Linked DNA regions of Struthio camelus. The protein of the gene in region 1 interacts with the protein of each later gene in a pairwise test. Links are inferred from orthologs where the notes say so. Each region holds a gene or a part of one and is shown in the gene's direction. Other genes may lie near its edges.

What was found.
Region 2: the proteins of CCNDBP1 (region 1) and myelin P2 protein interact in binary tests that used the Homo sapiens proteins (3 or more experiments, as listed by UniProt). The two-hybrid records come from large-scale screens. The link is inferred for Struthio camelus from reciprocal best matches to the Homo sapiens genes CCNDBP1 and PMP2.
Region 3: the proteins of CCNDBP1 (region 1) and ZGPAT interact in binary tests that used the Homo sapiens proteins (3 or more experiments, as listed by UniProt). The two-hybrid records come from large-scale screens. The link is inferred for Struthio camelus from reciprocal best matches to the Homo sapiens genes CCNDBP1 and ZGPAT.
Region 4: the proteins of CCNDBP1 (region 1) and STK25 interact in binary tests that used the Homo sapiens proteins (3 or more experiments, as listed by UniProt). The two-hybrid records come from large-scale screens. The link is inferred for Struthio camelus from reciprocal best matches to the Homo sapiens genes CCNDBP1 and STK25.

What each region holds. Positions count from the first base shown.
Region 1 is NC_090959.1:19,674,943-19,682,231, forward strand, and holds the start of CCNDBP1 (cyclin-D1-binding protein 1), read left to right. Parts: upstream 1-4,280; 5' UTR 4,281-4,332; coding exon 4,333-4,423; intron 4,424-4,499; coding exon 4,500-4,559; intron 4,560-5,212; coding exon 5,213-5,292; intron 5,293-6,015; coding exon 6,016-6,097; intron 6,098-6,548; coding exon 6,549-6,645; intron 6,646-7,289. Other genes in the region: ZNFX1 (NFX1-type zinc finger-containing protein 1), read left to right, coding at 1,709-4,141. UniProt on the Homo sapiens protein: May negatively regulate cell cycle progression. May act at least in part via inhibition of the cyclin-D1/CDK4 complex, thereby preventing phosphorylation of RB1 and blocking E2F-dependent transcription.
Region 2 is NC_090943.1:125,897,724-125,904,720, forward strand, and holds the start of myelin P2 protein, read left to right. Parts: upstream 1-3,993; 5' UTR 3,994-4,072; coding exon 4,073-4,145; intron 4,146-5,656; coding exon 5,657-5,829; intron 5,830-6,086; coding exon 6,087-6,188; intron 6,189-6,997.
Region 3 is NC_090959.1:17,914,787-17,922,518, reverse strand, and holds the start of ZGPAT (zinc finger CCCH-type with G patch domain-containing protein), read left to right. Parts: upstream 1-4,729; 5' UTR 4,730-4,864; intron 4,865-5,049; 5' UTR 5,050-5,206; coding exon 5,207-5,850; intron 5,851-6,614; coding exon 6,615-6,748; intron 6,749-7,514; coding exon 7,515-7,673; intron 7,674-7,732. Other genes in the region: ARFRP1 (ADP-ribosylation factor-related protein 1), read right to left, coding at 385-455, 999-1,080, 2,134-2,216, 2,693-2,780, 3,176-3,268. UniProt on the Homo sapiens protein: Transcription repressor that specifically binds the 5'-GGAG[GA]A[GA]A-3' consensus sequence. Represses transcription by recruiting the chromatin multiprotein complex NuRD to target promoters.
Region 4 is NC_090950.1:3,608,280-3,615,260, forward strand, and holds the start of STK25 (serine/threonine-protein kinase 25), read left to right. Parts: upstream 1-3,959; 5' UTR 3,960-4,042; exon of another isoform or gene 4,043-4,046; intron 4,047-5,604; 5' UTR 5,605-5,679; coding exon 5,680-5,730; intron 5,731-6,981. UniProt on the Homo sapiens protein: Oxidant stress-activated serine/threonine kinase that may play a role in the response to environmental stress.

The sequences.
Region 1 (7,289 bases):
ACTGATATGTAAATCAAGGAAACAAGGTATACAGAATTAGGCAAATAACATGTAACTTTGTCTGGCATTAGCAACTGTAGGCATTGTAAATGGATCCAGTATTGAAGACTGTAAAAGAACAGACAAAAAGGAAGATGGACCAAAAGAGTTGTATGTGATTGAAAGCTAGGAAGAAATCTTAAACGAGAGACTTAGAGCATAATTTGTGAAGCTCCCTCATAAGATAGGTGACTTGATTACTTGGGTTCTTTATTTTGGCACCTTTACGTGTACACAAAATCTGCAAGCAGGATCTATGCAGTTTAAAAGTATAAACTAATCGTTGTTAGCTAACGTGTGCAACCAAACAGCTAGAATTTAATGATTTATTAAGCTGAGCATTGGTATGCTTGCCTCACCATAAGATGCCTGAAATGTCTTTGCAAGTCAGGCAGGCCTCAATCAGAAGAGGAAAGGTCAGCCTCTGCTGCTTCCTCAATATTACTGAGCTTCCATTTTCCACTAACTCCCTCCTTTCTGATTTTTTTTTTTTATTTCCCTGCCCCACACCAGTTATGATTTTATACCTTTCTGTGTTAGTGCTTATCTTTTTATCTTTGAACTAGTAACAATCGTACCTATGTAACTTTTACCTGCCCTATCTTGCATAGCCCTGTTCTGCAGACTTTTGCACAGCCCTCTGTCACAACTTAACAATTTCCTCAGAATTCTGAGTCAAGGTGACAGCAATGCTGTGTCCGAGCTAGGTCTTGAATCCTTGGAACCCAAGCAACTGAATACCCTGGGAGAAAGAATTAGAGGTGGTTACAGAGAGGATTACAGTAACTTAGTCTACTTAGATCTCTTTGTGAAAAGACAGTACTCGTTAATGAAAGCTCTTTAAGTGAATGAGATAGGTGTACCAAAAACCACTGTAAAATGCTGAAGCCAGGCAGGAGAAAATGAATAGTGAGGATGATTACTTACTAGAATAAGCTGTCTCTAGGATAAAGTTGCATGTCCCTTCTTTGTATCTTCAAATCCAGATGAAGTATTTTGTAGAAGATGCCTTATTTAAAAATAGCTACTTAGGTCAGGAGAAACAGGATAAAATTTTGTGGTCTCCTATAAGGTAAGCTATTCTGGAGAATGTTATGATCCCATCTGACCTTTTTTTAAAAAAAAAAAAACAAAAAACTGAGATATGATAATTTTATCATTTTAGATTCTTATCTAGTACAGTAACCAACAGAGGTGACAACTAGATTAAAGTATACAGCAGTTACTGCAGCTATGGTCACCTTGGAAAACCAGAGATGTGTGTGTGATCCACGAAAAGTGTTCTTTCCTGAAAAAAGCAGTCTCTGTGTTTTGGTATAACAGCCCAAGAATTCTTTGTGGGTGGAAGAATTCCAGTTAATAGGCAAAAAAATGAAGGTCCCCATTAACCCAAGGCAAATGGAAGTTTTGGACAGGTGAGCAGATAACTCACTAAACCCCTGCAGTTGATGACTATTGAGTGACTACTGGAAATGTCACTAATCAGCTCAAAGTCTCCTCTGATGAATATACTATGGAAATCTAAGAGGCAATTATTTTAGGAGAGGACTACAGGATGTGGTTACTGCATACTTAAAGAATCTTAGTAAGGGATAATCAGAGATATGGGAAGAGGCTGTAGAGACAGAAGGTAGAATTCTACTTCTGAGATTCTTTTCTTTTGTTTCAGGGGGTCTCATCTAACCTCTTCTTTGTGGAGCATGACTTTCCTGAGCAAGAGATCCAGGAAGGGAAAAGCCACCAGAACCCACATGAGGCCCAGTTTGTAGTGGAATTGTGCAAGTATTTCTTGTGTCAGGATTATCTACCTTCTCAGATCACCATTCTTACTACCTATACTGGGCAGCTTTTCTGTCTGCGTAAGCTCATGCCGGCCAAGACCTTTGCAGGTGTGAAGGTTCATGTAGTGGATAAATACCAGGGGCAAGAGAATGATATTATCCTGCTGTCGCTTGTGCGGAGCAACAAAGAGGAGAGATCAGGGTTCTTGCAGATCTCTAATCGGATATGTGTAGCATTATCCAGAGCTAAGAAAGGGTTGTATTGTATTGGAAATATGAGAATGCTTGGCAAGGTTCCTCTCTGGAGCAAGATCATTCACACCCTCCGGGAGAAAGGCCACATTGGCCGCTCCTTGATGCTTTGCTGCCAAAACCACCCTGAAACCAAGACACTGGTATCTACTGCAGCAGACTTCAGCAAAGTCCCAGAAGGAGGTTGTAGTCGTCCCTGTGAATTTAGGTTGAGTTGTGGACATGTTTGCACAAGGGCATGTCACCCGTATGACACACAGCACAAAGAGTATCAGTGCCTGAAGCCTTGTCAAAAGGTGCTTTGTACAAACGGGCATCGCTGTCCGCAGTTGTGTTATGAGCCCTGTGGACACTGCATGGTGAAAGTTGAGAAAATTATTTCCAAGTGTGGCCACCGACAGATGGTGCCGTGCTCTACTCCAGACACTGAGTTTTTTTGCCAAGAACCTTGTCAGAAAAAGTTGAACTGTGGGCACAGGTGCAACAAATTCTGTGGGCAGGAATGCACTACAAGGTGTCCTGAGCTGGTTACAGTTGCACTGAAATGTGGCCACATCCAGCAAGTGAAGTGCTGGATCACTGAGGAGATGAAACAGGGGATGCCTGTGGAATGTAAAACTAAGTGTTCTGTCACGCTGGAGTGTGGTCATGTATGCTCGGGTTCCTGTCATTCCTGCTTTGAAGGAAGATTTCATAAGCCGTGTAACAGCCCATGCAAGCGCTTCTTAGTCTGCTCCCACAAGTGTCAGCAGCCTTGTACTACCGAATGCCCTCCATGTCAGCTGGACTGTCAGAACCACTGCATTCACAGCAGATGTAAAAAGAAATGTGGAGAGCGCTGTTTTCCATGTGCAGAGCCATGTGAGTGGCGATGTCAGCACTATCAGTGTACCAATCTTTGCTCTGAGCCATGCAATAGGCCTCGTTGCAATGTACCGTGTACTAAACTACTGCACTGTGGACACCCTTGTATTGGATTGTGTGGAGAGCCCTGCCCACAGAAGTGCCTTGTCTGTGACCATGAAGAAGTCACGCAGATCTTTTTTGGCTTTGAGGAGGATCCAGATGCTCGGTTTGTACAGCTTGAAGACTGTGGCCATGTTTTTGAGTCCCAAGGCCTTGACCACTATATGGATGAAGATGATGATGTTATCAAGCTGAAGGTGTGCCCTGTCTGTCAGACACCTATCAGAAAGAATTTGAGATATGGCACCATTGTGCAAAGGCGTCTGGATGAGATAGAGAGAGTGAAAGAGAAAATCCAAGGCCCAGTACAGGAAATTGAATCTAGCAGACAAAGACTGCAGGCTGCACTAGCAGAGAATGCTGTTCTGCAGAGGAATCTACCCCTTAAGTACCTTATGCTGGAAGATAAACTGAGAGCCTCTGTTCTGTCCACAAAGAGTATCGGACTAATTGAGAACCAGCTTAACTTCTATGACCGTCTAGCTGATCTGACCAATTCGATGAGCAAAATTGATGCAAGTGAGAGGAAAGGGCTGAGGAAGCGTCTGGATGAAGTCCAGGACTGGCTGGATAAGCCACGCCTCAGTTTTACAGGGCAGGAGCTCTCTGACCTGCAGGCTGAGATCCAGAGACTGACCTACTTGATGAGCCTCTTGGCAAGGTGCAAAGGTGCAAGTGGGAGGATCACCCCAGCCCTTGCAGAAGAGATTGCCAGTGTACGTGAGATCCTGGAAGGGACAAAGAAATTCACAGAGAAGGATGAGGCTGCAGTGAAGGCTAGATTAGAGAAGCTCTGCAGTGCCCTGCCTGTGTCAGGGCTGGGGATCTCTGAAGCAGAGCGGGTGCAGATTGTCAGTGCTATTGGCTGTCCCCGCGGTCACTGGTTCAAGTGCAAAAATGGGCACATCTATGTCATTGGGGAGTGCGGGGGTGCGATGGAGAGGAGCAAGTGCCCCGAATGCCGTGCGGATATTGGTGGCACAAACCACACTCTGGACAGCACCAACAGCCTGGCCCCCGAGATGGATGGGGCCACGCACGCTGCCTGGTCCGACACAGCTAACAACCTGCTCAACTTCGAGGAGCTCCGCAGGCTGCTGTAGAGGCCTCCGCGCGGGCTCGCTGCTGCCCTTGTCGTTAATAAAGTGTATCCGTGCTCCCTTGTGTCTCGTCTGTCAGCGCGGGCCACGGGCCGAGCGCGGGGCGCGGCCCCCGCCGGCACCGCCCTTCCCGCGTCGCTACCCGGAAGCGGATGTGACGGCCGTGAGGGAGCGTCGCTGGCCGCTCCGCCGCCATGGAGCCGGCGGGCCCGGGGCCCCGGCAGGCGCGGGAGCCGCTGCGGGACCTGCGGGGCGCGCTGCGCGCGGTGCTGGCGCGGGTCCGAGGTGGGGGCCGGGGCCGGGGCCGGGGCCGGGGCCGCGCCGCCTCTGGCCTGGCTGAGGTCTCTTTCTGCCTTTGCAGAGGGCGAACCGGGCGAGGGCCGCGAGCCGTTCGAGCCGCCGCGCTTCTGGGACGCGCTCGGTACGGAGCGGGCCGGGCTAGGGCGGCGCTGGGTCGGGCTGCTGCGCGGAGCAGAGCGGGGCCGGGGCTGGAGCAGGGCCAGGCCACCATGGGGGACAGAGCTGGGCTGGGCAGGGGCAGGCACTGGGCAGACACGTTTAGCAGTTTTTGTGGGTGGTGTCAGTGGCAGAGCTGGGACATCGTGGTGCTGTTACATGGCACGGCTATGAGTTGCAAGAGAGGTCACCAGGAAAGTCTCCAGTCAAGGCTCCTGCCCTCGTCCTCGATTTCCTGGTGTCATTGACAAAGCAGTGGGCAGTATGGAGTGATCGTCATGACCGAGCTTTTTAAAGGCTTTGGTCTCTGTTAAAGCTTCCTGGCGTGTCCTGGTAAAGGTAGCATGGGCTAGGTGACAAAATGTGATAATGGATTTCAGAACCAGCTAAGTAAAAAAGTAGAATGGACAGTTTAGTGTGACACAGCTGCAATGTGGATTTTTTTTCCTCTGCTGTAGCTTACATTCTTGTCATATTTAGAAGTGAGAGACAGTAATCAGAGAGTAGATGTTAGGGCAAAGCAGCATCAGAGAGGACGTTGCTCATCTAGCTGCTCTGTTTTTTCATCTTTTACTTAAGATCCTGATAAATGTCTTTTTCCCATTGGATCATTCTTAGGTCAGACATTCAAAGCAACATCACAGGAAGCTACGAAGCTGAGTCTTGCATTCTCAAGGCCTCCACTGCCTTCTGCAGAGGTGTGTGAAAGCCCCCACAGAGTGTGAAATTGCAGTGCATATGATAAGTTTCAGATATCTCCTGACTGGCTAGACTAAAATAGAGTCGTTGGATTTAATGTAAACAGGGCACATTTGCGTGGACTATAGGTTGCAGAATGTATTAATCCAGTTCAAAAATTGTCTAAAGAGCTAATTTCTGGAATTTGGGAGGGGTATACCAAATAGAAGTATTCTTATATTCCTTTCTTTAACATTATTTGGCACGTACAACTGCTTGCTGGTGGAGACAGTATATTGGGCAATGTGGATCTTAGGTCTAACTAAGAATGGAAGTGTTTTTGCTGTTAATTGAGAGAAGTTTTAACACACCTGTGCTTGAAAGAGGGGAAAAAAGACCACCAGTTCAGAACAGTGATCTAAGCCGCTTCTTCCTCACTGATGCGTAACCACCAGACTAGCGGGTGTTTTCTGTTACTAAACTGTGAGGAAATTCATGATGCATACAATGAGTCTGCAACTCTAGCAAATTACTCTGTTCTGTGCTTGTAGACTTCAGAAACGCTTAAATGCCGTAACTTACCATTGTGCTGTATTTGTTTCTTGAGCCAGCTGGCCATTGCTGTGCTTCCCTACAGTCTTTTTTCAAAGTAATCTGGATTTAAATGGTTGCTTGTGAGACTTTCTAAGTGGAACGCAGCAATGCACTTTTCCTGGTTAATCTTTTTGCCTATCCGTTTTTAGGATTGTCGGAAGCTGAGTGAAGACGTCCAAAATGCGATTCTTGCAGTTGCCACAGTGTACTACTCGCTCCCTAAAGGCCAAGGTGAGATGGTAACAGCAGGGCAGTGCCAGTTCTTTCATCACTGTATGATGAAGCCCAGTATCTCAGAGCCCGGTAGGAGACCTGGCATCTACAGGAAATCAAGTTTTCATGAGCAAAGAGAGTCCCATTGTCAGCTATTCCATAGACTTGCAACATGGTTGTGAGTGAACCACTCCACTGTCTACTTCTGCGGATCTCCAGCTGTGGAAGAGTGATAATGTAGGAAGAGGTATAGTTGATTGAGTGTTCGTATTTATAAAACGTTGAGATTTTGCCCAAAGTCCTTTTGAAACTCAGGAACAAACATCGCTTCCTTCAAAATACCTGTAACTTTATTTATACCATGTGTCTGCATGAATGGAGCTGCCTGTGTGTTCATCTTTGGCAGTTGCTTTCTGTCGTTGCTGTCTTTTTGTTGCAACATCGTTGCTCTTTTCTCAATCTCAACCAGGTACTACTCTTCGGAAGATGGTACGAGATGCTACTACTGAGGTAGTGGAAGGAATGATCCAGCTCACAGAAACAATTCTCAATACTCCATTGGAGAGGTAGTGCTTTTCCGGAAAGAAGAGAGAAAACATTACAAGTATACTTGCAAGGGGGCAGCAAGTGCAGGCTGCTCCCAAAGGGAAGGGGGGAGCCAGGAGCCGACCATGGTTATAAGGCAGGCAGAGGCAATGCCCTCACCAGCAAGGGCCCAGTCTCACAGTATCTGATTGAGCAGAGCAGGCGTGGTGAAGGTGGCCGCGTTCAGTTGAGAGTTCAGATCCTCAAACAAGTCTATAGCGACAAGGTACGTTTGAGGTCAAGCTGGAGAGTCAAGCTGGCAAGTCATGGTCAGGATCAGATCCTGAAACAGTAAACAAGGTTAGACACAGACCAATGATTGCCCAGTTGGGTCAGTGGTGAATTGGGTCCAAGGTCAAGTCAGGAAGTCAAGTCAGGATCGGGGTCGGAATCGAGGGGATATGAGACTGGGTGCAGACATAGCCACCACACAGCTATGATGTAGCACAGACAGGGCCCAGCCAGAGAACCTCAGCTTGAAAGTATCTTCTAGGGGAAGGAGGGACTGGGCCTCACTAACTTTCTTCATAAGAGCTCTTAATAGTAAAAGAACTGACCTTGGACTTAGCCAGATAAACTCCTTAACTGAGCCATCTAAAGTCCTAGGAGGGTAGAATCCCCTCAA
Region 2 (6,997 bases), on another chromosome or scaffold:
TTTGTGAATGAATCAAGGATCAATTTTTTTTAATGAAAGAAAAGCCATTTAAAGCTTCAGTTGTTAACAGACGTCAATAAAGTGACATTCTGTTTATAAACTTTGATTGGGCCAGCACCGTAAGGAAGTATGAGTGATACTTTCTCAGAATATGGACGTGTCTAAAACTTTCTGTAAGAAAGGTATCAGCCTAGTGATTTTTTGAATAAATAGAGATAAATCTTCTCTGGCAAAGAACAGTCAGGGGTTTATACACTCAGACCTGGATGGAGATCACAATATGCATTTCTACATGCATAGGTCAGGGAGTTGTCCTCACCTGCAGAGCAGAAAAGATCTCTCCTTCTGTTGCGATGTGCTGAACTACTCTAAAAATCAGAAACAGCATTCTCCAGCGCTCCTCTTTGAAAAACGGAGGTTCTCACCAGACTGCTGCAAACCCTATGGGCTACACGCCTATTGCAGCAGACACCTCTCAGTGCTACGAGATTTTTATCTAGTTACTGCATTCACTCACTAATCCCTTACATGTTTCTTCAATGACAAGGGGGAAGGGGGATTCACACCCCCAGATTTGTAACAGCTCAAGAGAAGGATAAAGCAAGGTTTATTCTGCACTTCAAACTTTCTGTCATTTTCTGTGTTTCCTTTAACTCTTGGTTTCCACTGAAAGGAACTCGGAGTATTTTTTAAGTGTGCTCTTGGTTTAGCTTGTCAGGTACATCTTCTCTTGTGTTTGATTTTATGGTATAGTGGTGCTATGTAGCAGGTAGGTAAGATAGCGTGTGCTGCCTCCAGAGGAGGAAGCTAGGCAGCTGGAGCTCACTGGCAGTGGACCTGGATTCATCTGGTGAGATTCAGCTAGCACTTTGGGAATTCGCCCAGTATTGCAGGACAGCCTATCCATCTGGAGTTTACAAATCCCTGAGCTATATGTGTAACCATGAGACTCTGTGTGATCACTTCAGTGACCAAGCCTGTGTGCTGCCATCTGGATTGTCAAGCCCAGCTCCATGGTCGGCCCCGAACTGCTACGTTTCCATTGGCCTGAGCAATCTTGTCCTTGTCTCAAGGGATTCACAATCCAAAGTGACAAAAGGCTAGTTGCACTCTCTAGTATAACTACCGGGAGGAGATAGACTCCTGGCCCCGTGTTCAGAGCTGAGCCTTCGGTGGCAAGAGCAACAGTGCGGGAACTTCCACGGTGCCCTAAGTGAAAAGGGGTTCAGCCTCTGTTCTCTACTTGCATTTCTGTTTTCTTTATTACTGTCCGAGGAATTTAATGTAGATTTTTTTGGATGATATTTGTCTATATTCTCTTTCCTTTCAAGAAATTGACAGTAAATTTACCTTTTATATATCTTTAAATATTCCCTGCATGTTTTTATCTCTATTTTTATCAGCTTTTATCCCTGTCTCTAGTGCTACTTCACAGTCTCCAGCTACATTAATTTTACATCCTCTTTTCTTCTAACCAGAAAAAGTGAATCGAGGCTACTTCTTATCATTTACATATACTCACAATCTTTTTTGTTTCTTTACACTTGAAGAAAAGATTGGTTTCCACATATACTGTTTCTACTGAAGATAGAATTCCATGTTCTTGTTCCTTCTAGACTGTAGACCCTTTAAACGGAACTGCTGATTTTTCTTAATGACAAAGAGATAAATGGTAGCAATGTCAACATTGTTTGAGACTGCTTAAGACTGGGTTTTTGTCTGCATCAATAATTCTCTGTCACTTTTGTTCTTAAGGTTACTGGTACTGCAGTATAGCTGTTCTATTCTGACTAATTTGATCTTCTTCAGTTTCTTTGGACCTGATTTTACAATGTTCCACTTTATTTTCCACAGACACCAGTCTTGCCTTGTTAAAGTGTCTTTCTGTGGATAAGACAATTAAATGGAAGAACAAAGAATGCCTGGCAATGGTAGAATACTATCATGTTATTCCTTGAGAAATAATGGCAAGGTTAATTTAGGAGGATCCCCCTCATTTCCAGAGACTAGATACAAGAGCTGGCTATTCTTTCACATGAAATATGATGCATCTGTACTTTGGAAAAGTCGTTTCTAAAGTAGGTAGTGGACCACACCTTCACAGATTGACATTTACTACATTTGACAGACAGAGCCTCTGCTTCCTACTGTGGGGAGAAGGAGTTGCCCTTTTATTAGTTTTCTTTATCACTTATTCTGGACCTTCTCTTCTTACACTGCACTGTAGTTAGACCAGAGAGGAAATGTGAAATTCTACTGAACTTACCTTGTTGGTGTTCTGACCAACTAACGGGAAAAAATGTTTTATATGTACAAACAAAATTTGTAATGTAAGACATATCCCTACCACCACAGTACAATCCAGAGATTATAACCTTTCCCCTGCTCAGATTGCACCATTTTTCTGTTTAAGCATGTTCCCCCCCGCCACATATGGCAGCTCTGGAGAGAGGACCCAAACCTCAGTCTCCTAGGCCCAGCATCAGCTCCCTCTGACTCTTTCCATCCTAAACATGAGAGATTCTGTCCCACGACTTATCCTCCTAGCTAACCGCCACCCTTACAATGGAGATCTGAGAAGTTCCTGTACATGGTCACAACCTAGAAAGTTTAATGATGCAAAAAAGAACATGCAGCTGTTGTTCATACAAGTAGGAAATAAGCCATCTATTCCTTTCATGTAGCAAATAATAGCTTTCTCCTACTAGGAAGGTGGTTTAGGAAAGGGAAGGACAGAATTAGTTGTTGTTGTCTTACACTAAGTAGTTTCAGATACTTTGAGGTGTCTTGAATTACAATGCTTTGCATTCCTGCCCTTCAAATATACATATGGTCTATGGATTCGTTCTTTGCTTCCATTTCTTACTAACCACAATACAATAATTCTAAAAGTGCATTGTTTTTGGAGGTTTAGGTTATATATGTAGAAACGGAGGCATACTTACACATTCTAATTCACAATGCCACTGGAAGAAGAGATTTTTGCAGCAGGTTCTTGCATCTTCTCATATGGAGGTAGAGGAAGGCCTGTCATGAGTGGCCCTCTCTATTTCACATGGCACAGAAGAGACCATGGCCCTTCATGACAGCAGGGTACCAGAACAAATCTGGGAAAAATAGGATACATTTGAATGCAAGGCCTTATATGCCTGCACTTCCTTAGATCTGCCCCTAACTCTTTGACAGACCACTTACCCTGGTGCAGAAAGGCAGAGAGAGAGGAGTATATTCCCTCCTCCCAATCCAATAAACCCGCTCACCTCTCACTAAGTGACTTTGAACTAAGCACTTTGATGACTCCACCTGCCAAGCACAAAACCTGATCAGAACCTACGCACTGATCTTCTGAATATATTTCTGATTGTGGAAGAAGGAAGGCAGCAAAGTCTGGCTGTCTCTTCTCTTCATGGTGCTGCTGGGGTACATGCAGGGCAGAACCCACAGTTTGACATCATTACTCTGATGCAAAAGCAGACAACAAGACAGAATAATTTAATTTTGTCTTTAAAGGGCAGAATACACACCCCCTTTCCAGGATGGGCCATGAAAGAAAAAAAAAAAAAAGCTTTATGCATAGGAGCTTCTCACCATCTCTTCCCCACATCCCTGCAGCTTTGATTTAACTGACTAGCATACAGGTGACAGCAGCGATAATGATGATAGCAGGGGTTACAGTACTGGGAGGAAAGCCAGAGCTGGGCTTCACAGGGGTACAGTGGTAGCGTGCCTGGTGGCATGTGGCTCAGACCCCACCACCATGTCACTCGCCTGCTCTGCCTCACGTCCCCATCCCCATACACTCCTCACTGCCTTGATTTATTCAGTGGAGGAAGCCCTGGCAGGCGTCACCCCGAGCCCTGGTACTAACACAACTGGCCTTGGACAAGGTACACATTGTCTGGCCCTAGCATTGCCTCTCCTATTGGCCCCTCCTGCCCGTTATAAGAATGGGGCATCTTTAAAAGGAGGCGACTGAGATCTGAGTCAGTGGCACAGTCCCTCTGCCTCCCTCCAAGAGCTGCTGTTGCCACTGCGTTTCTCTGGAGGACCGCTGCCTTGTAAAGCCAATACAATGTGTAACCGATTTGTGGGAACCTGGAAGCTCGTCTCCAGTGAAAATTTTGATGATTATATGAAAGAATTGGGTGAGAAATGTTATTCTCTTTTTTTTAATAAGTTTTCTTTAGCAATGTCTTTTCTTCATCTTATGCTTTGCTCACAGGTAATGTCTTCTTCTTGGCCATAAGCACTTTAATTACCTTCTAGTATGATCTCATGTATTACTGTTAGCATCTAAAATGGAAAAGTTACTAGATTATTACAATAAATTTACTTCTGTCTAACTGATCTGAATGATCTATTTTCCTGTAATGAGTAGGATCTACGGAGATGCAGGACTTCTTTGGTTTCTCTTGATTGCACTATTAAACTCATGACTTGTGATAATTTACAATATATAATGGAGCTGATGTCTCATGACACTTGGGTTTCAGAGGTCTAAACTCTATGAATGAATCTATCTGTTACTGAAGAATGCCAGGAATGTAATAAATTGAGCATTGTTTTTTAGTTTAATGCTGACTTCATCTCTATATAGCAAGTGCAAAGACAGTCAGTTCCAGCATTTCTTTTGCTATATAAATGATTCACTGAAACATTAATTCTCTTTATTTGAAAGGTTAAACTGAGTAACAAAAGAACTTCAGTTAATTAATTAAGCAGAGTAAATGTGGGATGAAAATCTAGCTACAGACATTTTTCTGAAGATCTGAACAGAATTGTTTCAGTATTGAGTAATTACTGCAGCTAGTGTTATACTTTACAGATAACTTTATATCCTTTTGTGTCCATCTTTTCATCTGAGCATACCACAGAATTAACAAAGGCATTAACTATAGCTATCCCTGTTCTGCTTTTATAAAATGGGGCTACATCATCAGTGGCCTTTATTCTAATTTTCCTCAGACCTCGTAACTTGTTGACCATGAATTGAGAAGAATAGCACAAGGTAATATAAAAGACTCTTGACATAGGATTTTTACTGAAGTTTTCTGCACCTCTGCACTCTTATATTTCAATTTCTTTTTATTTATTGCCTGAACTTTTCACTGAGATTCAGACATTAGGATCTTTAAGCAGTGGTAGTAGTAACCTAGGAATTGCTTGGGCACCAGTATATTTTGTGCTTTGAAGAATAAGCACCAGCATACTGGGAGTTCAGTCACTAGTTTCTTCCTTGCAGCTGGTCAGCAAAAGCTCAGATTCCCAAATTTGTCAAGAATAGCAAAAATAAAAGGATTTTTGCAAGATATATGAGTTATAGTCCTTCTCAATGCATTTTTCTACCCATTCTATCACTGCACAGAAACAATACAGGTTAGTAACCGTCTAAGTTTCTGCTTAGCTAAATGTACACAGCTGTATACACGTGTATATCTTTATTTCTTGCTGGAGATACATCAGCTGGGGATGCCTGAACCTCTGAAAGCAATACTGTATGCAGCTTCCACATATGAGGAAGCAGTGTCTCATCTGAATCAGACATTATAGTATTCAAGAAGAAACTTTTCATTATTTTTTCACAGAAGTTTTATGAAATTATAATGAGTTTCTTGCTTCCTAGGATGTAATGCTATTTTTTTTTTCTAATTTATAGGAGTGGGCTTAGCTGCCAGGAAACTAGGTGGCTTAGCAAAGCCTGATGTGATCATCAGTATGAAAGGGGACATAGTAACTATCAGAACTGAAAGCACCTTCAAAAACACAGAGATCTCCTTCAAACTGGGCCAGCAGTTTGATGAAATGACAGCAGATGACCGGAAAGTCAAGGTAAGGTGGCTAACAATCTCTAAACGATCTCTAAGGGATCCTGACGTCCTAGAATTGAGCCAGGAGGAGTTTTTCCGCTATGAAATTTCCAAGCTATTCAAGAAAGTACCGAAAGAGGAAACAGTATGGTGCTGACATCAATGTTACTAAGTGTGTCTTTAGTAGAAAATGTGGATCTTGCTATCCAAAAAGTGAATTGTTACTCTAATCTACGAAGCTTGGATCACATTTTGAAACTCGTCTCTTGGCCTTTGCAGAGTGTTGTAACCCTCGAGAAAGGGTCATTGCTGCAAGTGCAAAAATGGAACGGCAAAGAGACCACGATAAGGAGAAGACTGGTTGATGGGAAAATGGTGGTGGTAAGTACCTATGCTCTCCCTCCTTGTAAACTGCCAAATGGTAGAAGGATGAAGCCTTCAGTTTGTTTCAGTCTAAATTATCTATCAACTTTGACTTTCTCTTTGGCTTACAAGAGAAATAAAGAGGGAGAAAAGGGAAAACAAGCTTAGGAAACAAGTTGGAAGGAAATAAATCTTATTCCTTACAACAAATTGTCTTTAAAGTGATTATATTGGCAGAGCTGCCATGATCTGAGAACGTATTTACTGCTCTCAAAGTTATTATTCTGAAAACAAATGAGCCTCTCAAGCAATAGGAACCTGTGAAATGCAAAGTTTGCAAGTCATATACATCTAAGCCTGGACTAGCTCTGTCTTTCCTTCTTTCTATATTCAGAATAAAGCACGTCCACTTTAGGTTTTACAACTTTTCCCATGTCTATTTCCATTAATGCCAATCAGTTCAGAAATGTATGTTTGCTCTGTCCGTGTCAGCATGCCAGGCTCACTAAGCGGGTGCCTGAGGTTTTTTGCGTGAAAGCTGCTGTCTCTGGGTCTTCTTGCGATAATAAACTATAGCAGGGACTGACAGGTCCTGACAGCTCCACTGAAAGCCCTCGGTACTATGAGAGCTGAGTCTCTGAGGAAGGCTAGGGAGTGGTGACTTTCCCTCATTATCTCTTTCTCTCACCAAGGCTAACCTATCTTTCTCCAACAGACACACAGAAAGCCACAGGAAAGCCAAGCCAGTATAATAATACATTTTAGGGGCCTTAGTTGTAGTACTTCTTAATAGAATTAAAATTTTATCATTGAATAAAGTAAAGTAC
Region 3 (7,732 bases), about 1.8 Mb from region 1:
ATTCCAGGTACAATTCCAGGAACAGCATCATAAACAGAAGCTCACTAAACATTGTTTTGCTGAATAAACATGAAAAACAGGATTAAAATACCAAGTCACAGCAAAGAAAACCCACCAGAGCTAAATAGTTCGTTCTGTTTACGTACATGGCTCAAAACAGCCAAGATGTACATGTCTATAGTCAGCTCACTTGTGTCACTGGAAGAGGGCTGGAGGAAAAGGAAAAATGGAAAACTAAATTCACAGCAATTATTTCTAGGAGAAGAAAAACTTTGTTAGGCACCAGTCCAGGGACTGGAAATAAATTTGACATGAATAGACACAGCCCACCTTTCAAAGGCGTATTTGCTCGTTGAATAACTACATCTTCTGCAATTATCTTACCTCTACATCCTGCTTGTTAGCTAACACCAGAATAGGAACCCCTTCCAGAGCTTCGCTAGTGACCATCTTCTCTATAAAGCACAAAAATAAAAAACGAGAGAGGTTTAGCTAATTCTAGAAGACCAAGTTGTGCAAATGCTTGACACAAATTATCTGAACATAGGGAGGAAGCAAGAGGCACTTCCTTGTGCTAGTTTGATTTGATCCAAACTTTCAGGACTGCATTCATCACAGTATCTTTTTTCAGATCAAGTTCAAACTTTTATTTTGATCAACAAGCACTTTACTAAGAATTAACTAAATACAGAATAAGAAATGAAAGTTCTGAAAGAATTAACATAAGCAGAAAAAGAGCCTCAAGGTCTTTATAGGCAATGAAACTGACGATTATCTTACGGACAAGACAGACCATACTCTTAAATAGCTCACTGATTTCACTGCTTTCACCTCAGAAACGCAGCCACGTATCATGCAAAGGTTCAAAAGCGCTACAGACATGCCATCAACAGAACACAGCTTATACTTCAAGTACACAGGAAGAGACACGATTGTAATGAAAGAACTGTGACACAATACATCAGGAAACCACAGTACTGATAACACAGCATACTCACCAAACGCTCTTTTAGATTCCGAGAGCCTCTCCTCATCAGTGGAGTCAATAACATAGATCACTCCATGAGACTCGGCATAATACTGGAATGGTAACAGATATTAGTGTACTTAACGGCTAAGACTATCTCCTCCTCATACCCTTTTTTTTATCCGTATGGAAGAGAGAACCAGTTGGAGCTAGCTGTTTCCATAATATTTGTCTGGAGAGAAGAATGGTGGCATGCAAAATGCATTGCCTGTCCTATTTGCAGGTCTGTTGAATAAAATAGGTGAAGAAGTTTATCTGCGTACTCCTTTTCTAACCCAAGTGATTGCAGGCAGAATTTGATGTTTTTTAAGCCTGATAAGACATACTACTCAACTGTGCAGTTGAAGTGATTGATAACAGGATAGCAGGAATGCATGTCTTGATCAAACAATGAAGTCAAGGGCACAGGTAGCATGCTTGGTTGGCCTGCGAGCATATTGCTTTAATATTCTTTGCCGGACATCTGGATGCTGCATACTGTGCTCAGGGTTTCTAATAACGCTGCAGTTAACGTACCTACAAAACACCATGCAGCTGGGCAGACTGTACCCTCTGCTCGACAAGAACAGATAATACAGAGGGAGACAAGTGTTGATATTGGTATATACTTTGCTTCTGTGCGGTACTGTAAAAGCCTTGGAAGTGCTGAGCCCAGAAACACATCTCAGCTCTTACCTTCCTGCTTTCATCAATGTTCTCCTTCCCTTGCCCTGATTTGCTGTACAAAACAGCCCAGAGAACTTGAAATCATATTTCATTTTAGTTAGAACTAGACTGTAGCTTTTATTTGAGCTAGCCAAGATCTCTTTTAAAGTCCCTCTGTAACTTTGGGTAAGGAAGTTACCACTGATATGACCTTATTACATACAAACGATAAAACTGGCACAGTCCTCCCACAGAGGCTGACAATTAGTTTCTGTAAACAATAATGCAGATGTTAAGCATCATCTTTGCAAATCTTGCACGGATAAAATTGAATCTCTGGAAAAGTATTAATGCTAAATACCTGGGTTACCAGTAAGCCTGTATGAGTACTAAATGATCATATTTCTCCAATTGTGAAAGAGGTATCAGAACATTTATAAAAGAAAAATTACTTCCCCAACCTTGTCCCAAAGAGACTGTAGCTCCTCCTGCCCTCCAAGATCCCAGAACATCAGTCGAGTTTTGCCAACATCAATAGTACCAACTAGAGGGAAAGAAAAATTCAATCCAATGAAAACTGACTGCGTGCTCTAAAGGATCACGCCTACACAATGCCCCTAAGTAGGGATGGAACAGTCTTCTACAGGAGCAAATCACATATAGTACTACTTATAACAAGAGAACAATACCTTAGAAAATAGTGGCCATAAGATTGGGAAGAGTCACATCAGCATAAACAGGATGAGAATCAGCCCGTGAACTCCAAAGAAACTTAGTTTAACTTCTAAGCACAGCACTGAAAGGTGACACACAACTCTTAAAACTTCAGGGTTTTTTCTTCAACAGCTAAGCAAGCCAATTTATTCTCTCAGAAGAAGTATATAGGGAGCGAGGAGATAAGATCCCTATTTCCAGGAACCACTTTGCCCTTGTCAATTCTTCTTAAACATTTCAAGGAAGAAATAACTGTTCTCTAACTTTACAGGAAAGGTGGAAAATTTTCCAGGTGGATTTACTTACTGTTTAAGCCTACAGTGGTTGTGATTTTGGACAAACTCATCCCTTTGTAGTTTTTGTTAAATCGAGTTTTAGTTTGTTCAAGGAAGGTCTGAAAAGGAATAAGAAAGAGTAACTACTCTCAAACATTGTACTGGCATGTATCCAGTAATCTTAACAAAAACCTGCCTTTTCCTTACGGCAGAATCTTGTCCCAGTAGCTACTGCCCTCTCTAACCTTGGAACAAACCACTCCTCTTGTTCCCTATTTCAGCAAAGAAAGAAGAGATCCCAGGTGATTACGGGATTATCAAAGTCTCAGCGTAAGCTTTCAGGGATATAGCTAAGTTTAAATACAGGGAGAGGAGTTGACTCTTGGGGGCAATATCCCTAAAATATCCTGTCACGAGTTAGACTGACCTGCCTCTTGGAAGTTTTGCCTTTGGAGAATAGGAATGTTTACAATTGCACGTGCCCTCCACGTAATTGGTAATTAACAGCACTTACTGTTTTACCAGCATTGTCCAAACCAAGGATCAAGACGCAGTACTCATCCCTCTGGAACATGTATTTATAGAGTCCAGATAACAGAGTATACATCCTGCTCCTGCAACAAATGCCAAGAAATTATTAATAAATGGGTCACTCCCAGAAGTCTTTCATTCCACAATGCAAGTTTTTCCAACATCAGAGAAGTAAGTGGCATTATTCTTTTATCAGTAACTCTCATATTTAGATAACTCCAGGACAAATCATAGATCCAAGTCCACGGGAGAAAAAAAAAAAAAATCAAGTTTTCAAATGCATATAAGTAGGGGGTCATCTTATGTAGAGCTTATCCCTGTTTATGCACATGGCCAAATTTTGATAGTGCATATCATCCAGTGCAAACCCACTACTCATTTGAAAATGCTCCTGTCTGTTCCAAGGCTTAAAGGGGATCTGAATGTTCTTGAAAGTCTTTCAGAGTACATACATGGTCCACAGAATGAAATCAATTGCATACAAATACACAGAATGGGTATTTGGAGCAAGAACACGCTCTATACGACTGTATCATTGGCTCTTTAATGGTCAAACTGACAGAGTATCTTACTTTTAAAGGCTTGTAAAAAAGACTAGCTATATTAACGTATGCCTTCTCCAGCAACAGCCTTCTGTTCCACGATTCACAATTCAAGTATTTTATCATCTTGCAATACCATGAAGAGAAGACCGGTGACTAGCCAAAAGCACAAGACCGAAAATAAGACTAAGTGACAGCCCCTGGCCATGCACGTACTCTTTTGTTGGATTTGCACAAACAAGGCAGAGAAGATTTGCTAAGATGCAGGAAGTCTCGGTACCAAGCACCACAGCCGGCTCCCTTAGCATTACAACCACCCTTCAGTTTAAACAGACCGGGGGAACCTCAAGGCAACAACTCTGAGAAGCCGCTGCCGTGCAGCGAGCGTGCAGATAAATAATCGTTTTGAAATGCAATAACGTTGCCTGAGGGGTAGAAAAAAAGAAAAAAAAAAAAAAAGACTTCCAGCCTCAGCACGGCAGGTTTCCCAGGCTGGACCGCAGCCAGGGCCAGGCCGGGAGGCCCGACGCGGCCGGCGAGCACGGACCCTTCCCCTCCGGCTGCGCAAGAGGAGCCGGAACCGGCCCCGGCCTCGGCCCCCGCGGCCCTTACGGCCGCCACGGGCCCGGCGCGGCCTCGGGCCAGGACAGGCCTCCCTCCACCGGGGCCCGGCCCGAGCCCCGTCGCAGCCGGGCCTAGCAGCGCCTCGCAGAGCTGCCATCAGACACGGCAGGGTCCCCGCTCCTCCCCCCCACCCCGAGCGCTGAGCACGGAGCCCGAGACCCGCGGCCCCTCACCGGACACCGGAGACACCTCCCGGCCCCCCGCGCCTCAGCGCTCCCCTTCGGCACCGGCCGCCGGCTTCCCCCCCCCCCCCCTTCCGCGCGGCACCCTGGGAAATGTAGTTCTCGCCCCGCGGTCAGAGCGGCGCGACACCCCTCAGGAGGACTGCGACTCCCAGAATGCCTAGCGCCCTCACGGCCACAGCCTGCGCCGGCGCGGTAGGGGAAGTCTCCTAGCCGAAACGGCGTAACGCGTCGGCTAGAGGGGCCGGAAGTGGGGTGGCGTGGAGGACCGGAAGTCGGCGGGGTGTCATGGCGGTGCCCCGGGAGGAAGGGGAGAGCTGGGGGGTGAGTGAGGCGGGCGGGCGGGCGGCCGGCCGGGGCCGGCGGCGGGCGGCGGGCGGCGGTGGCGGCGCTGATGGCCGTGGCTCTGGGCCAGCGCTGAGCGCCCGGGCCGGGCTGACCCGGGCCAGGCGCCCTTGCCGCAGGGCGGCGGCCGGCGGTAACGCGCCGTTCAATGTCCCTCGCTGCAGGCGCCTCGTCGGGCCTCCTCAGGGGGAAGCAGCAGGACGGCGGGCTAGGCGGTGGCGGCTGCGGACGAAGACCTGCTGATCGCTTTACGTGACCTGCTTGAATGTGTTCTGCGTTCCCAGAAAGGACACGGTTAGAGACGCCTTCGTTGTGCTGATAATGGACGAGGAGAGTCTGGAGGCAGCCATTCACACCTACAGCGCCCAGCTGCAGCAAGTAGAGCTGGCCTTAGGGGCCGGCCTCGACCCGTCCCAGCAAACGGACTTGGTTCAGTTGCAGGAAGACTTAAAGCAGCTGATAGAGCTGACTGAATCTAGCCTGGTGTCTATTAAAAAAAGCAAACTTCTTGCAACCTTAGATACAAACGCATCCTCCTCCTCTCCTGCAGGTCCCCTAGAGCAGGAGGCCAACCTAGACAGCTCTGCCCAAGATGAGGAATATGCTGCTTTTAAGGAAGCCATTGGTGAGCTTGGAACTGAGGACAAACCTTCAGCTGCTGATCATGAGATATCATCAAAGAGAGATGAAGAAACTGATGAGAAAAGTGAATCTAAGTACAGTGAAGAGGAGGATGAGTCTGACAGAGAGGAAGAGGAGGAGGAATTGAGTGGGATGAAGGTTAAAGCCCCGTACTACAGTGCTTGGGGGACCCTGGAGTACCATAATGCCATGATTGTGGGCACAGAATACTTAGAAGATGGCAGTGCAGGAGTCAGAGTTCTGTATCTCTATCCAACTCACAAGTCTTTGAAGCCGTGTCCATTCTTCTTGGATGACAAGTGCAGATTTAAAGAGAACTGTCGGTAAAAAAGGGATGGGAGGGAGTTTGTGGCCTTCTTGTTGCTAAAGGCCTTGGCATGCAAGGGAAGAGACTGCTCTAAAAGTGCTGTGTTTGGCTTTTGTACTAGATGGAATTTTGCCAAATATATGTAATTTTTTCTGTTTTTAAAATATGACGTGGTAAATTGGCATCAAACAGTTTGACTGCTTTCTTCAGGTAACGCAGAGGTGAAATGGAAATTCCCATGACAAAATGCAGATGTTTTACCTACTCCATTGCGTAGCTAAACTAATAATTGATTAAGATGTTAAAAAAAGAAAAGTTAGTCTGTAGATAGCACATACATACAGGTTACAGAGAGAAATTGTGGTGTCTCCATCTTAGGAGATTTTCAAAACTTAACTAGATAAGGCCCTGAGCAACCTGATCTGTCAATGAGGCCAGTCCTGCTTCAAGCACTTCCAGTGTGGACTAGAGACCTACGTTTCTGTGTGATCCTCTTTATCGAAGGATCTGTGAAATTTTTTACTGGGTACATCACTAGCAAAAAAAGCTTAATGCTCTGGGATAGAATGCGTTGTCAGATGGCACAAATAATATCTTTAAGATGAAAACTGAAGACTGTCTTGTGTAGTCGAAATAGCGTGTGATAAGACTTTGATAATTATCAGCGAAGATTCAGTAGTGCTGATAACTTGTCACATTTTCTTTCGTGAGGGAAGGAATTTTTATTTAAACCCTTTTCAAGTGGTGTGGATATAGTTCTTCTTTCACCGTTCCTGGCAGGTTTTCTCACGGGCAAGTGGTGTCTGTGGAAGAGCTTCAGCCGTTTCAGGAGCCCGATCTGAGCACTCTGGAGGTGGGCTCGGCCTGCCTGGCAAAACACAGTGATGGAATATGGTATACTGCAAAAATAACTGGTGAGTCTTGTTTTAGTGTGTTTTGCCAGGCTGCTGCATGGAGGATGAACACGGACACTTCAGTGAAATAAAAAAGTTGATTGTTTTGGTTGATGATAGAAAAAAGCTGACCAGGTTTTTACATGCCTAAACTGAACGTTTTGAAATAGCTGAGGAAAATATTCTGAGTTTTGTAGGGCTTGGGATGGGAAGAGGCTAGAAAACAGGAGAACATTAGACAAGAAGGCAACCCAGGAGCAGGAATGTGAGGTTAAAAAAAACTTCGTAGTCATTAGCTGAACTGGTAGGGGAGAGACAGGTATTGCAGGAACTTGCATGAATACTGGAATTGCAATAATCTGTTCTTGTTTAAAGAAAAGCCAGGGGAGCTGGCCTTGCCTGTCAGTTGCTGATACAGGCTCCTCTGTGTCCTGGACAGGGTAGGGGTTTATTCCCGCTTTCCTGCTTTCTTTGACTGTTGCTAGGTCTGAAGGAACAAATCTGCCTTCTCTTTAATTCAATTTCTCAGCAGCCCATCTTTCATCACTTTTAGAAATAGACCTCTAAGTATCAACACAGAAACTGGAAATAGCTCTTCATTGCAGCATATAATTCTCCCTTCTAGACCGAAATCTCAAGCAAAAAAGAATTCAGAGGTTTTTTTTTTTAAACACATGTTCCCTGGGCCTTCCTCCTCTCCCACTGAAGGTAACTGTTCTGTAGAAAGCCCTCTTACCCGTTGCGTATTGCACACTTGAACTCCTGTCCATTGCTTTTCCTTCTGTAGATATCGACAGTGGCTACTACACTGTGAAGTTTGATTCCCTGCTGCTAAAGGAAGCCGTTGTAGAAGGAGATGGTATCATTCCTCCATTACGAAGTGAAGATGGCGCCTCCTCTGTTGAATCTGATGAAGACAGTGTTGATGATTCTGGCTACGCTAAAGGTAGAGAGTGGGGAGGGCCTAAGCAAAAACGGCCTGTGATCTAGGCTACCTCCTCTCTG
Region 4 (6,981 bases), on another chromosome or scaffold:
TTAGTTCCTGAGGTCCTTTCTGCACAGTTTGGTTTGGCCACTGAGTAATTCCAACCCAAGGCAAGGCTGCAGAGATACCAGACGCTGTTTCCTCACTAGCATTCTTTGCTTTTGACAATTGATTCAGCACCAGGCTGACCCTCTTTAAGATGTCTTATTATACTCATTTTTCTAATGAGTATAATACCCTCTCCACCTGACCCAAGTAGCAATGCAACAGGCAGAGATATGTTAATGCAACTACAGCATGTTTACCTTTAAGCAGGGAAGCAACTTCGAGACATCTCACTGAAGAGTTTCTTGTTCTCGAAAGCACCTGGTGAAAGGCACTGACCATCAGGAGAGCTGGCTGCAGGATCCCTTGTGATCCTGTTTGATATTTCCTATGGAAAAGTAAAAGATGTGTTACTTCAAGGGAATGTTTAAGAGCCTATCAGTCAAAAAGCTTCTTATAGCAACTATTTACACCTATCTCTGAATTTCACATAAACATAATGGAGTGGAACAGTTTATTGGACAAAAGTTTGAAATGCCTCATTCAAGGTTTCTCTGTTAGTGAGAGAATTACCCGTCACCTCAAGCAGTATTTCTGCCACACTGTCAACAACGTGCAACATAGTTTTCAGAAGTAAATCTTTTTACAGGGAGAACGTTAAGCAATTTAATTAGCACTTTATGCAGGCCAGTTAATTTCCTCTACCTACCCTTAAGTAGTAGCAATAACCTCAGATGAAGAAAAACTGAATATATATATATATATATATAAAAAATGAATGAGCATTATAACCAAGAATCGTGTTCAGGTGTCAACCTCATGGCTCCAATTTGGGCAAAACATTATGCTTTGAAACCCTTCTTCAGGCAGAGGCTGATCTAGAGCTAAAATCTTCAGGTTTCATTACGAAATAAGAACAGGTGTCTGGAAGAGATGACCCTCCAGCTCTTAATCTAGTTTTTTTTTATTCCCAATCTCTAACCTTCTGCTTTTAAGAGTGCCAGAAAAAAAAAGAACTAACAAATCAGCTTATCCCTTCAAGAAAACAGTACTTTTTAGAAGTTATTTGCTCTCTGTAGTGAGGAGAAAACCCAACAATATATACAAAAGTCATTCGTTTTTAGCCTTATTTTCCATACAACGAAGCATATACAGCCATATAACACACAGATGGCAAACATGCATGCGTGCGTGTTTACATAGTTGACCCTTTCCCTCTCACAGGTTTTGGCCAGTTGTAACCAGCTTGGGAAGAGGCGTCGCAACAGCCAAAATACCAAGTTCCTACAATTTTGTGAAAGCAGACAGGGAAGAACTTATTAATGGCACCACTAAGTTAAAGGCTAACCAGGCCACCTTTTTCTAGGCGTCAAAGGACTTGCACAAAACAAAGGGACGGCAGCAAGGCTGGCTCAGCTCCTAGAGCCGCTCTTTCCATCAGCCATACTTACTTTCATGACTAACCTCATCAGGAACAAGGTAACCTTCCACGGAGTCAGAAGGAACTGCCTGTTCGTTTTCACACTGACAGGGCTAGGGGGAAAAAAAAACACAGTCTTAATCCCAGAGTCCCTTTCAGATAGCCCTGCTTCCTTAAGGCCAGGTGAAAGCTTTAACCCTAAATGGAAAGCGATACACCTTCCGTAGGCCTGGTGCCTCCAACACATAATTAACTCCCCACTGCCTTCCTTCAGTAGAAATATTTGCTCTCTCTCATTTGTCTGGCTGGCTTATTTTAAACTTAAACCTCTTGGAGGCAAGGACTGTGTGTTTTTTCTGGGTAGGTACAGCCCCTAGCACAATAAGCACCAAACTTTTTGGGTGCTAAAGCAACAATTATACATAAAACTTGCAGCATGATTGTTCTGTAATCGCCCTTGCAAACGTTAAAAAATATACGAGCTGGTTTCCAAGAATACAGCATCGACCAAAAAGTAGGGAATTAATGGAAGAGGACATTTTTATTTTGCTTCTGCTCCAGTTGATATGTCGCTGAAGGTCAAATGGAGGAGGTGATGGACACAAACATGCCATTGGTGGCCATAGAGAAGTTAAGGCCGCCTGCATCCCCAGGGACAACACTTTGGCACTGCGTGGTTTTGAGTACATTAATAACCCTCTCCTCGTAAGAGAAAGTTAGAGGAATAACTGCCTCACAACGAAGCAGCGATCTCTAGGCCTATGTGGTTTGCCAAAAGCAGACCGATTAGCTATTGACCTGTAAATGGCTTTTTCCAGATGGCAGCTGGACCACAGTTTTCATTCCAACTTTCCTGCTCATCCAAGTATCCTGTTGCTAAGAGGCAGACACCCCACCGGTCCCAAATGGGAATTCAGGTCGCACCAGCCTACACCTGAGCGTGCTTGTCTTCCTGCTCAAAAACTGCTGGCCAGCTTTTGCAGTTTCTTTTAAGATGGGAACTCAAGTACTGATCATCCTTATTAAAGACTTACCCTAAACCAAGCCTACAAATCTAGTTGATTGCCATTCCTCCCAGCAGTTCAGGGTCGCTATTATCACGCTCCTGAACTATTCAACACTGGGCCAGCCTAAGGTCTAGGGGTGATGTTAGTGAGACAGCTTTTTGGCTCTGTTCAGACTTGCTGTACTTATTCAACCTAATAAACATTTCTGTGCGGCATTTGCCACCTTGCCAAGAATGCAAGTACATGGATAAACTCCTGAGTCTGCATGATATAAGAACCCAGGCCATCAGGGTGAAACACCACCTGAGTCACACACACATGGGGACTCATAACTTTCCCTACCACGTGGGTGACACGTGTGTGTGTGTGCAAAAACATGAGCAGAAAGGCAACGTTTTCACCCCTTCGTCCTTTCTGCAGGAGAACTGGAGCATAACCGCATTTTTCCTTCCTTTCCCTAACTGCTGATTTTCTTTCGCGCGTCAGGTATTTCAGATCAAATAAAGCTTCGATTCCTCTGCGTCTCCCTAGACTTTTTAAGTCAAGGTGCTGCGCTGGGACAGGGATATGGGTGTGAGGCGAGGTTATCATCATGGAAAAAGCTCTGTGCGTGGGCAGCCACGTCGGAGGCAGAAATTTGTGCCCGTTTTGTTAACTGAGAGGAAAACTTCCAAGGCCAGTTTTTAAGGTGACTGGCAACAGAAAGGCGGAAAGCGGCCTGACCGGGCTGCTTCGCTTCCTTAGGAAATATTCCCAAACCCTCCGGTTTCCCCGAAAGAGGGTGAATTTAAACGGTGCTCTGCTGGGGTTTGTCGGGACGAGCTCTTAGCATGGCCGCTGGGAGGATGAGAAGGCCGAACCCTCAGCACACCAGGGCGGGTTTCCTCATTCAAAAGCTTAACCAGCCACTGGAGAGAAAGAAAAAAAAACCACCACCACAATGAGGAAAGCGCTGCTGACCAAAACGCTCGCTTCGCCCCACCTCCGCTCACCCAGCTTTTTTTTTAGCCACCCAAATTTGCTCTTTCCAGCCCAGGCAGGGCCTGTCTCCCCGCAGCAGAAGCCGAGGAGCCGCGGGGAGGGGAGGCAGCCGCCTCCCGAGCCCCTCGGGCCTCCACACAGGCCGCGGCCCCAGCGGCGCCGCCCACCCCCGACCGCCTCGCCGCGGGGGCCACTGGGATCGGTAGTCCTGGCCCCGCCCGGCCTGCCCGCGCCCGCCGCGCCGCAGGACTCTCTCTCCCAGAAGCCCTCGCGCCCACGCCCTCCCCTCCTCCTCCTCCCGCCGCGCCCCCGCCCGATGCCTGCCGGGCCGTGTAGTCCGCGGGTGCCGCGTCGCCAGGGGCGGGCGGCGGCGAGGGAACTACGTCTCCCAGGAGGCAGCGCGGCGCGGCCACCTCACCCCCCCTTCCCCGCCCCCCCTCCCCGCCGTGCTCTTGCGCCCGGCCCTCCCCTCCCTTCGCCCGGTGTTCCCGCTGCCGAGCTCGGTGTCCCAGGGCGGCCCCGCGGCGGCGGGGGCGCGCGCGAGGCCCGGCATGGCGCCGCGGCGGCGGGGGCGCGCGTCGCGCGGGGGCCGTTGGCCGTAGGGGCGGCGGCGGCGGCGGCGGCGGGCTGCCCGCCCGGGTAGGTGCGGCGGGGCCTGGGGGCTGCGGGGGGCCGAGCGGGGCCGCTGGGGGGAGGCCGCGTCGCGGGGCCGTGCCGGGGGGCGTCCTGAGGGGGCTGGGGAGGGCTGGGGGAGCCCCGGTGGGAGCACTGGGGAGGGCTGGGGGAGCCATGGTGGGAGCCCTGGGGTGGGGTGTCCTGAGGGGGCTGGGGGGGGCTGGGGGAGCCCCGGTGGGAGCCCTGGGGTGGGGTGTCCTGAGGGGGCTGGGGGGGGGGCCGGGGGCGCCCCGGTGGGAGCCCTGGGGTGGGGTGTCCTGAGGGGGCTGGGGGAGGGGCTGGGAGAGCCATGGTGGGAGCACTGGGGAGGGCCAGGGGTGCCATGGTGGGAGCCCTGGGGTGGGGTGTCCTGAGGGGGCTGGGGGGGGCCCGGGGGAGCCCCGGTGGGAGCCCTGGGGTGGGGTGTCCTGAGGGGGCTGGGGGGGGCCGGGGGAGCCCCGGTGGGAGCCCTGGGGTGGGGTGTCCTGAGGGGGCTGGGGGGGGCCGGGTGAGCCCCGGTGGGAGCCCTGGGGTGGGGTGTCCTGAGGGGGCTGGGGGGGGGGCCGGGGGCGCCACCGTGGGAGCCCTGGGGTGGGGTGTCCTGAGGGGGCTGGGGGGGGGGCCGGGGGCGCCACCGTGGGAGCCCTGGGGTGGGGTGTCCTGAGGGGGCTGGGGGAGCCATGGTGGGAGCCCTGGGGTGGGGTGTCCTGGGGGGGCTGGGGGAGCCCCGGTGGGTGTCCTGGGGGGGCCGGGGGAGCCCCGGTGGGAGCCCTGGGGTGGGGTGTCCTGAGGGGGCTGGGGAGGGCTGGAGGTGCCTTACTGGGAGCACTGGGGAGGGCTGGGAGGGGTGCCCGGGGTGGGGTGGCATGCCCTGGGAGTCTGTGCCCTGAAGGGACTGTGCTGGGGCTGTGTTGGGGTGGGCCAGGGCGTCGTGCGGGGCCGTGCAGCGTTGGGGTGGTTTGGTTGCTGGCACAGCGGGGCGCCCTATGGGACGGGTTGCTGAGGAGCACCGAGCTTGTTGGGTCTGGGGGTGCTTTGGGGTGGCGTGGGGTTGGGGTACCCTGACGAGGGGGAGGAGGTGTGCTGGGGAGCTTAGCTTGGCAAATGGATGCACTGGGGAAAACGGTACCCTAAGTGAAGCACGCGTTGAGAGGATTACAGGGGAGCCCTAGGATGGAAGGGGTATGTGAGGATAATCCGGTGGAGCGTCCTGGGGATATATCCTGGGAGCTGTGGTGACGGCAGAGTGCCGTAGCGGCAAATATACCGGGGAGCGTGGTGAGGTAATGGCAGGGAAGAGGGTGCTTGAAGCTGTGTCGGTGCCTATCGTTAAAATGAGGTTCCTGATCTGTCTGGAAGGCACGTCTGGAGAAAAATTGCGAGGTGGGGTTTGCTGATGCAAGGAGGGGCTGGCACACTTTGAACGGGTTGATGGGGTCCGAGGCAAACTGCAGACTGAGCAGAAAAAGTTGAAGGTAGTTTTTTGGGGGAATGAGCCAGGCTCTGGGAACCTTGAGTTAGAGTTGCTGTGTTCTTGCTTGTCACAGCTGACCAGTGGATGAGAAAGCACTGCCTTCCCGCTGTGCTACAGCAACCCAACCTCCCTGATTTCGCAGACGCGGATGTCTGACCATCCTGTAGGCATGGCTCACTTGAGGGAATTTGCCAGCCAGGTAAGTGAGGATTAAAGATTTGTTTTAAACTCTTGCATCAAGAGCAGACATAACGCTTCCAGCAGGTAACTTTTTGCCACTGTTTCTCTCTTGCACACGTCTCATTACTCCTGTTAGCTGATTGATTTCTGTCTTATTCCCTGGTGGTGTTTGGCTGACAATGTTAGGTTGCCCCGCTGTATAGTGAGGGGATTCTTCTTCCAGTGCAGTGCTCCTCTCTGAGGGTAACTCTGCTCTTAGGGAGAGAGAGATCTTTGTCTCTGAGTGTTTTTTTTAGGAGGGCTAGGCTAGAAATGGGATCAGAAAAGCTGCGTTTACAGACTGCGCCAGATGTAGTGTTTTGGCAGCGTTCACAAGAGTAACCTGGGAAGAATAGTGCCTGTAACCCTATGCATGAAGGGTAGCAAAATTTGGTACTGAACACGTCTCTCTTCTGAGAGAGATGTCAGCCCCAGGGGATGTGGTTAACTCCTGTTGTTGTGATGCCATTTTCTTAAGAGGACATGGAAGGATGATGTCGTGACCTGGGACTTAGAACTGAACCACGTTAATAGTATCAGCTTGAATCTTGTTTCTTCTGAAATTGGTTGTGGAGTATGTTTGACTATTGGCAGACGTCAATACTGAATATAGACCCTTTTAAACCATGTTTTAGGAGAATTCTGGCATTTTTCTATTCTGTTCCTAGATGTAGAATTAAACGCTAAAAGCTTTAGTGGTTTGAGATAATGCTTTCTCCAAGCCTTTTCAGCATAACATTGATTTGCAATGCATCTTAGTTTGCATGCTGTCTTTCACATAAACTGTTTCCCCAAACAGTTGTGGAATTAAATGCAAATATAGAACCTGAATGAGTCATAATACAGGGAGAGAAATGAAAGGAATAGGAGAGGATGCTGTTTAGTTAGGACTGGGAAAATTTGAAGTGGCTGAGTTCAGTAGCTACAGAGAAGGTTCCTCTCAAGCTTGTAAATAAGTAGGTAGGAGAGTCGAGCTGAAAGCAGCTGATAAAACCAAGGAAGATAATTGTGAACAGAATAGTAGGGAATTAATGAAACCATTTGTGGATGGATTTATGTAAATACCGACAAGCTGTCAGTTTAGGTGCGATGAGCTTTTTATATACAGCATTCACTGATAAGCTTATCAGAGTTCCAGGGCTCTAAACTCTTAATTTATTATATAAATATCATGCATTCTCAGATTCTGTCATACCATGACTCTCTGTCTGGTCCTAGAATAGGAAAGCAG